2 linked regions of the Oryzias latipes genome follow. The protein of the gene in region 1 interacts with the protein of each later gene in a biochemical or structural test. Links are inferred from orthologs where the notes say so. Each region holds a gene or a part of one and is shown on either strand. Other genes may lie near its edges.

What was found.
Region 2: of the proteins of dyrk1a (region 1) and lin52, one has a biochemical effect on the other in vitro, tested with the Homo sapiens proteins (3 studies listed by BioGRID). The link is inferred for Oryzias latipes from reciprocal best matches to the Homo sapiens genes DYRK1A and LIN52.

Annotation. Positions count from the first base shown.
Region 1 is NC_019871.2:12,323,753-12,328,128, reverse strand, and holds the start of dyrk1a (dual specificity tyrosine-phosphorylation-regulated kinase 1A), read right to left. Parts: upstream 3,035-4,376; 5' UTR 2,231-3,034; intron 1,649-2,230; exon of another isoform or gene 1,457-1,648; intron 529-1,456; 5' UTR 472-528; coding exon 462-471; intron 1-461. UniProt on the Homo sapiens protein: Dual-specificity kinase which possesses both serine/threonine and tyrosine kinase activities. Exhibits a substrate preference for proline at position P+1 and arginine at position P-3.
Region 2 is NC_019880.2:13,721,059-13,725,475, reverse strand, and holds the start of lin52 (protein lin-52 homolog), read right to left. Parts: upstream 2,925-4,417; 5' UTR 2,922-2,924; coding exon 2,888-2,921; intron 2,837-2,887; exon of another isoform or gene 2,777-2,836; intron 2,102-2,776; coding exon 2,048-2,101; intron 1,432-2,047; coding exon 1,357-1,431; intron 1,281-1,356; coding exon 1,243-1,280; intron 1,146-1,242; coding exon 1,079-1,145; intron 318-1,078; coding exon 234-317; intron 1-233. Other genes in the region: pomt2 (protein O-mannosyl-transferase 2), read right to left, coding at 3,901-4,006, 4,192-4,303.

The sequences.
Region 1 (4,376 bases):
AGGAGCTGTAAGATGAGCAGAGAGCAACACTATATTTGAGGTGCTATAAGGCGCTACGTATTTGACTTATTTTCTTATAAAATTTAAACACATAAGTGGGAGTCCTTTCACTTCTATTTTAGATATAGAGGTTATATTTAAACCTAAAAAAATTGGGGCTTTCTTTTATTTTTATTTGTAGAATTTCTAGTGCCCTTTAAGGCTCAAAAAGCAGCATTTTTTTTAACTGTACAAAAAGTGTGTTTATTTATTAATAAAGTAGCATAGCTATTTAAAAAATAAACTAAATAATCCTGATGGTCTCAATTATATGTTAGATCTTTATCTTCTAAAGGGAGACAAAAATTTGGAGAGGATAGATGCCAGATTGAATAAAACTGTAAGCGGAGGACAGAAGAAAGCCAAAAAATATTAAAGTCCCCCACCAAAGATGTGGTGGAGGAAAGTATACAGCAGCTAACCTGGATGCATCTTCTGCAAAATTTCATATCATCCTGGAAGGAGAGTCCAGCAGCAAACCACAACCCACTACAAGGAACAAAAAGACATTATTATAAGTTTACATTTTTGGTGGCTACTGAACTTTACTAGTAACTTGAGAAGAAGTGAATGACAGGACCGCTTGGGAGAGGGCCATCCAAAACTTTGCAAAGTCATCAGGGGTTAGCTGCATTTTAGGAATTCATATTTATAATAGGACAAAATCATCCATTGTGACTTTTAATTTTTAGAAATGATTACAATCAGTATGACCACCAAGTTCAATAGTAAAAAAAAAAAAAGCATCTAAATCTTCAAACTGAGCTCATCAGAAAATAGTTATGACACTAAATTAAATCAGGTTGGATATTTTTGTGGTTCCCTGAACTTATCAGGCAATAAACTATTTAAATTGTCACCTATATGGGAAGTTTTAAATACTTTTGAGAAGGAAAAAAGAAAGATGCATAAACAAAATCAAACACAGACACATTCTATTTACCTTTCTAAAATTAACAAAGAGCTGAAAGTTTGATTTTAGAACACTGATTAAACATTAAAGACAAATAAAATACTTTCTTAATTCAATGTGGACAAATAAATATAATTTTCTTAAACAAGTGAAGCCGATAAAGCATTTTGAAAGCAGTCCCGTCGCTGCTTCGGCGTCTTTTAAACGTCTTACTATTCTTTAGGTTCAGGACTAAGAGACTGAACAGTTCCTTCAGTAGCTGTGCTCATGATGCCATCAACGGGCTTAATAAAGCATGAATATAATAACAGTTAGCTTATATTCGGAGCGGTATAACATCACAAGTGATTGTTAAAGACCTATGGATCAAACCGGTGTGTCATCTTCTCACGCCCAACTGCTTAGATCCATTCCAAAGCGGAATCAGACGAAACCCATCTCTAAACAATTAAAAGCCCATCGTTAATCCAAACAGACGCTTTTCCCGAGAAATTCTTTACTTACAGATGATACGATAAATCTCGTCATGGCTGGAATTTGAGAGGCATGTTCAGAGTTAACGTCCGTTCTCTCTTTGTATCGCTAATGTAGGACTCCAAATCCCGGTGAGGATGACAAACGTTTATGGGCTTGCATTACAGTTAGCTGTCCGACTAGCTAACGTGCTCGTCGTTCCCCTGAAACTGCGGGATAGGCGAGCAGGTCTCTCACCACCAGCCCACCGTTAGCTAGTGACGCTGTGTGGAGCCAGCGGATTGTGGGGCCCATTCAAACTGGTTCGTCAACAAGTCAGCGTTAACCATTAGCCACGTTAGCCGAATAAGCTACCAAGCCAGGTTAGCCTCTGAGCACTGAAGCTCAAACCGCCCCCTTGTATTAATGTAATTACCCACCGCACTGACAGTAAGTCAAATCGGAGGCGGAACGTAACAGGGTCTCAATCATACAATGACAGTGTCTGATATAGCAAAGTTAGCAAAAACGTTAACACTGTGCAGACATGACTTCCATTGACTGCTACACATCATTTACAGCCGACATCAAGACTAAATCCGCCCAGCGTTAAAATCCGTCCACTGACCTACTGACTGGAGGCGAACGTTAACGCTGGCTTTACAGGAAAAAATGTTAGCTAGCCGCCACACCAGCTACCATCCTTGTCTACCGCGTCCATCATTGTTAACTATTCCCTCTGCAGAGTGAAAAAAATCCGCCGAAAGATGTAGTATCCACGCCATGAAACGATCATGCGCAACAGAACAGTTTGCGATTACTCACCTCTGATGGCACGATCTTCATTTAAAGTCCAATAACCTGTAAGATGAGGAAACTTATCCAGCTTGAGATTCTCCCCTCCCTGCACGGTTAGCGAGTAAATCCAATCTCTGTACTCAGATCGGCAAGCTCTAAAATAACCCGTCAGTCACATCTGGTATGCACTTCATGGCTCAAGCTTTAATGCGCAACATCCAAGGCCGAAATAACTTCAGCAAATGTTAATATTACCCGATGACAAGCAACATGCTAAGCAGCACGCATAAGTCAGTAGCTAACCTTAGCGAGCTGGCTAGCTGGATGACAAAATGAGCGCAGCTAACGTTAGCTACCTGCCCTGGTTGGCCTCAAGCTAACTATTCTAGCAACCGCTAAACAAACGTTATGCCAAATTCCGATTTAACGCTATCTTTACAAAATTCACATCGGTCGCTTCGACTAGTGCGACAATACAATTATATCCAGATCATGAAAACACAAACCATAAGCCGCGTCCTCTGATAATTTTGGTTAGGAATTTTGAGTCAATTTTCACAAAATGGCGCGCGGTCCAAACCTGCGCAGTGAACCGGCCCGGTGGACCAGAGACACGGACAACTGAGTTAGTGCGGCGCCGCCTAATTATTTCAGCTCAATTAAAACATCGGCCTCTTGACTTTCTTGATCCGATCCACTGTGCGCATTTCAACATCCAAAAACGTCAAACATATATCTTCTGACAGCATTATTCCGGCGGGAAGGGAGAACATTTGAAAAGACTGAGCAGAGGAAAAAAAAAACCTCCTGACAAAATGGCGATGCTCTAGCTTGTTCCCATGGCAACTGTCAATCAAAAAAAATGGAAGTACCCGGATGCACCAATGACGAATAAAATCTGAACTGACCAGAGTTCTACACATGTAGCTCGCTTGGTGAACCAGACAACATATTTTGTTAGATATTGTGTCTAGCCATGGCTTTATATATATATGTGAATTTTTCTTTGTATAGTCGTTTTTGTGCTGTTGCTGTGTCATACCCTGTTTGCTACCTCTTCAACCTCATATCTATCTATCTATCTATCTATCTATCTATCTATCTATCTATCTATCTATCTATCTATCTATCTATCTATCTATCTATCTATCTATCTATCTATCTATCTATCTATCTATCTATCTATGTATCTATCTATCTATCTATCTATCTATCTATCTATCTATCTATCTATCTATCTATCTATCTATCTATCTATCTATGTATCTATCTATCTATCTATCTATCTATCTATGTATCTATCTATCTATCTATCTATCTATCTATCTATCTATCTATCTATCTATCTATCTATCTATCTATCTATCTATCTATCTATCTATCTATCTATCTATCTATCTATCTATCTATCTATGTATCACAATTTTGTCAGAAATAGTCTACATTAATTTAGAAAATTTTAAAATATAAGGCTCTATTTTGTTATCTGTTTACAAATCACAATTGTATAAAACTAGTGATACCCATATAATTAAAGATTAATATCCTTTAAACTTTGAAAAGGTTTTAAAAAAACAACCTTATCCTTGTAAGTTTGAGTTATGCTGCAACAATAATCAAATGCTGCTTTTAAAAAGAAATTCCAGTTGCATGCAGTAGATTAGTACTGGCCACATTGCAGGAGATGTATGGGTGTTAACTTGTCACTGAACCAATTAATGCTGAATCAGTAGTTGGGTTAAGCATGTTCATTGTGTAAAAATTTGTGGTTGTAAAATTGTACAGTGCTAACAGTCCATGGTGAATTATTTTAAGGCCTTTTCATGCCCATATGCAAAAACTGGAATATAAATGTTAAAAAAAATTCTAACTTTTTTTTTAACGGATTTATAGTTTTTAATACTGTTAAATTTTAGACTTTAACCATCATGAAAGCCTGAGATGGAATATGATAAATTCTGCCTGTATTTCTCAGCTTTACTTGGTTAGACTTAAGTGAAATACCCTTGATTTTTATTACAGCTAGCAACCAAATCAGACAATAACAGCATTTCAGGGACACAAACTTCCTTGTTCATATTTTATATTGTGAAGCTAATTTGTAACTGACTTGTCGCAGAGAGGCGACTGGCATTGTTTCATAGTACAGTACACTTAACAATCAGATTGGTCA
Region 2 (4,417 bases), on another chromosome or scaffold:
ACCCGAATCCGTTATTTGAAAACCATGAAGTCAATTTACTCCTGTTGTGTAAATCAAATGTGATCTAAAAAGAAAGAAAATTAAAAAAAAAGCTAAATTATCATTTTGAAATCCAAGTGAGGTCAACCTGTTTGGAATTTGAATGTGGAAGCAGCCAAAGACTTCAGCGGCAGAGAATTGCGTGGAAATGCTTTTAGCCCCCCCTAGTGGTGAAGTGTCTTTGTTATACTTACACTCCTCTAAACCCAGCTGGTAAGCCAGATTCTGAAGTCCTTTGACTTTTTCCATCAGATTGGCTGTAGTCAGACTTCCCAGCTCTGCAGAGGTATAACATCACACTAAATAAAAGCATTTAGAGATACTTAATTAGCTAAAGAAACATGAATTATTATTTAAAGTCCCACTCGGATTTGATCTTTTGATCTGTTGTAACCCTTGTGCTATCCTAGGCACTTTAACGTTGGGAGTTGGGTCATGTAGACCCACTAGACAGTGCGCTGAACTTTTTTTCTTCAATGATTTATGATCTTCACTGGTGTCCATGGATTACATGAAATCTTTCCACCTTTATCCACCTTTGTCATGGTCGGAAGAACACGTCAATGTAAGGGTGGGGTCATCTAAGATAGCACAAGGGTTAAAAGGCGTTCCCAGAGGTCTTTTAATGAATGATTATGCCGTTTTTTGCCGAGATAGAAAAAAAACACTGTGTGATTTTTAAGGACAGTTAGAGCAGAGCTGCAGTAGATCATCAGTTTATACACTCTACTGCTAGCTTACAGCCACTCACACCCCCAACCTAACCTTAGAAACGAAAATGGCGAGCAATATTGATTAAGAAATAAGAAATTTCAAACAGCATTTTTTCATCTGCTCCTGATTCACAACGATTTGAATAAATAAGAACTCAGAAATGCAATTTCAAGCTTAATTTTCTTTATACGTGTCCTCCATTATCAGATGTCAAGATATCAAATGCCACAAGAACATGTTCAAAACACGGTTTTTCTTATCAGAGTGGGTTTTTAATGTTTTCCCTAAGGTTTATACAGGATAAATGTCAGCTGTCTGAACCAACCTTTCAACATTTCAATGTCCTCACTCTCCAACTCAGCCATCCACTTTGGAGGAGAGGTGGTGATAGGCTGCAATAAAAAGAGAAAAACAACAACATACAAAGTCTCAACTCCAATCAGTCTATGCAGAGTCAATCCTGCATCTTTAGATCAGAGCTAAACTCACATTTTTGCAAGTTGCCGCAAACTCTGCAACTCCAGGCACTGTGTGAGAATTCACATAAAGAATCAATTACAAAGTAATTTTTTATCAGCTGGGCGTGGGAGGATAGAAACTTACACTGCTCTGGCCACAGGTCAGGTGATGCTCTGTCCAGCTTCTCAAAACTCAGCAACGAAATCTCAAAATCCTCCCCTGCAGAAGCACACAGTGGTTCACTTTGACATGTTCTTTAGTTTTTTAAGTTCTATGCTTTTGGAAATCAGTGGTCAACTATAAAATTCAGCCAAATGTTAATTTAAAAAAAATTAAAAAGTAACTTTTTATAAACAGGTCAAAAATTGAAACCTAAAAACAACTTTTGTTTCATGTTTTATCTAGACAGAAAGAGAGGAAAAAATCTAATATTTATCTGGTCTTAAAATTAGGCAGTTTCGAATGAGAATAAATGGTTTTATTCATTTAAGATTCGTACAAACACTGATCAATTAAAATGTTCAAAGAGGTCATAGTCATGTGGTGATCTGATCATCTACTAATAACTCTTACACTGCTGTAAAAATATGTTTGGCCATTTAAACAGAAATGCCTCGTTGATGTGAGAGATCAGAGGAGAATGGCCAGACCGGTTCCAGCTAATAGAAAGGAAACAGGAACTCAAAGAACCACTGGTTTCAACCAAGGTCTGCAGAAGAGCATCTCTGAACAACCCTTGAGGCAGATAGGCTACAGCAGCAGAAGACCACACCTAATGCTGCCATTACTGTCAGCTAAGATCAGGAAACTGAAGCTTTAATTCACACAGGCTCACCAAAACTGGACAATAGAAGATTAGAAAAACATCTGGTCTGAAGAGTCTCCATTCCTGCTGGGACATTCAGATGGTAGCATCAACAACATAAAACCATAGATCCATCCTGCCTTGTATCAACAGTTGAGGCTGCTGGTGGTGGTGGTGTGATGGTATGGGGGATCTTTTCTTGGCACACTTGTTAGAGACACTTTTCTTTCTTATTTGTCTGTATATGTATAAAGGGTTTTCTTTCTTATCAACAATTACTTTTGCTATCAAATCTGAACACTGGTCCTTCACCAATATAGAGAATTGTATCCAAAATTTCAATAACTCTTGACAGAGTGTGAATTACTAACTAATAACATTATTGGTTCTGCAGACTGTTAAACTTTTTAGAATTTGCTTTCAACATTTTTAACACATTAAAAGATACTCATTACGGACATAATACTTAATAGCAGACTGATTCCATTTTCAATCAAAGGAGTCGAACAGTCACACAAAATCTAACAAGCAACCAAAACAGCTACTACTAATTTAAAGTAGAGAAAAATAACTAAGTGCTAAATGTAGCACTGATGCTAATTCGAGCCAAACGGCCAAACGAAGCAACAAGAAGAACAATCTGGACTGCTGCTGTCATCATCAACGGCGGACAATGTCAGTCCCAGAATCAGGAAAAACAAAGGAAGAAAAACAAACCGATTAAACAAGAATTTAGTCCTACGACAAATTTTACGTTACCTCTGGGTGTTCACATTACACTGCGTTATAACTGTTAACGACTTAAATGTCTCGAAACTGTCACATTTGCGATGTATTCAAAGCGTATCGGAGAGAAGAATTAAAATTTACCTCCATTTGGAGACGCCATCTTCAAAATAATCATGTGACATGCAACAACCAATCGCAGCGGCCGCGCTCTGTTTTGAGGTGTGGCGATGTTTTTCAAAATTACGCCGCTAGAGGGCGGCAATGGTGCTCGCGCTGTTTACAAGAGGCACAGAAGATTACTGTTCGTTTTATTCAAAGATTTATATCGTCTTAGAAATTGTAGTACGAACATTACTGTCATAACTTAATGAAAAGACCCTTATTTAAGCCCACCATAGTCTCAATGAAATGTTACAATGCTGGTACATTTTATGGTTTTACCTTAGGGGACATTTAAATCACCTTTTATTCCCTCTAGTTTTTATTTCTGGAAAGAAAAACCATAACTCAATTATTAAACAAGACTTTCACATCCCAGATTTGGAATGTTTTGCATTTAGTTTATATTTTTATAACAACAATTTCTTGCATTTAGTTTACTAGGCCCATGTTTCACAGATTTTACAAGTTTGAACTTAAGTATACATAAAAAAACGGTACAATTTATTATATATATATATATATATATATATATATATATATATATATATATATATATATATATATATATTGAGTTTTCCAATTTTTTGACTTTGCGGCACATCTCGTTTTGTGTTTGTAAATTTTGCAAATATAACAGGACATGAAATACAAGAATAAAACAATTTATTGATCAACATAATAAAAACACAAAATCAAAAGTATAATACTAAAGCTCAGGACAATCTCAACTAAAAATACATGTAAAATGTTCTGGCTTTAAAAAAAACAACAACTACTGTCTCTTTCAAATGGAATTTAGTTTGTCACTAAAGGCAACTTGGTGACAACTCCAGTGCATCTTAAAAGATTCTACAATCTGCTTTCCAAACTGACTGAATTCACATTTTTTCTTACAGAAAGACAAATGAAATGTTTAGACTCAAACTGATGTTTTGAAATTCCCTCGGCTCAAAATGCTCCGTGTCTGTGACATCTTAATCAAACAAGGATAACTAGAAGTCCCAGGAGTCTATCCACTTCAGGCCTGCCATGGCACTGCCCGGCTCATGGGCAAGAGGACCCATCATGCCATAGGACAGAGGATGAAAAAGGTAGAAACTGGAAGGAAGACAAAGATCTACTCAAAATCAACAAATTCTTTATTGCCTTTACATTCCCACCAACTAGATGTAAATATGAGGTCTGCCTTACAGTATTTAGCACTTTGCAATGCAAAAAGTTACGAGAAGAGTTACTTTCACCTGATATAAACTGCAAAGTTAGGGCTCTCTTATGAGTCTCACCTGTAAAGGATGCTGAGCTGAAGTAGCAGCCATCCACCAACTTTCAGCCGGTCAGAATAAACAGAGTGGAGCAGCAGGTCAGAGCTTTTAAGAAGGATGTCCAGTGTAACTCCTGTTGAAACAAGGCGACAACCCTCAAAAGACGGCACCAACCTGACAGCACATGCTCTTCTGAGGCAAAACACTGATGTTTTGTTTTTGTTATTTTCAACAAAAAGACTGATCC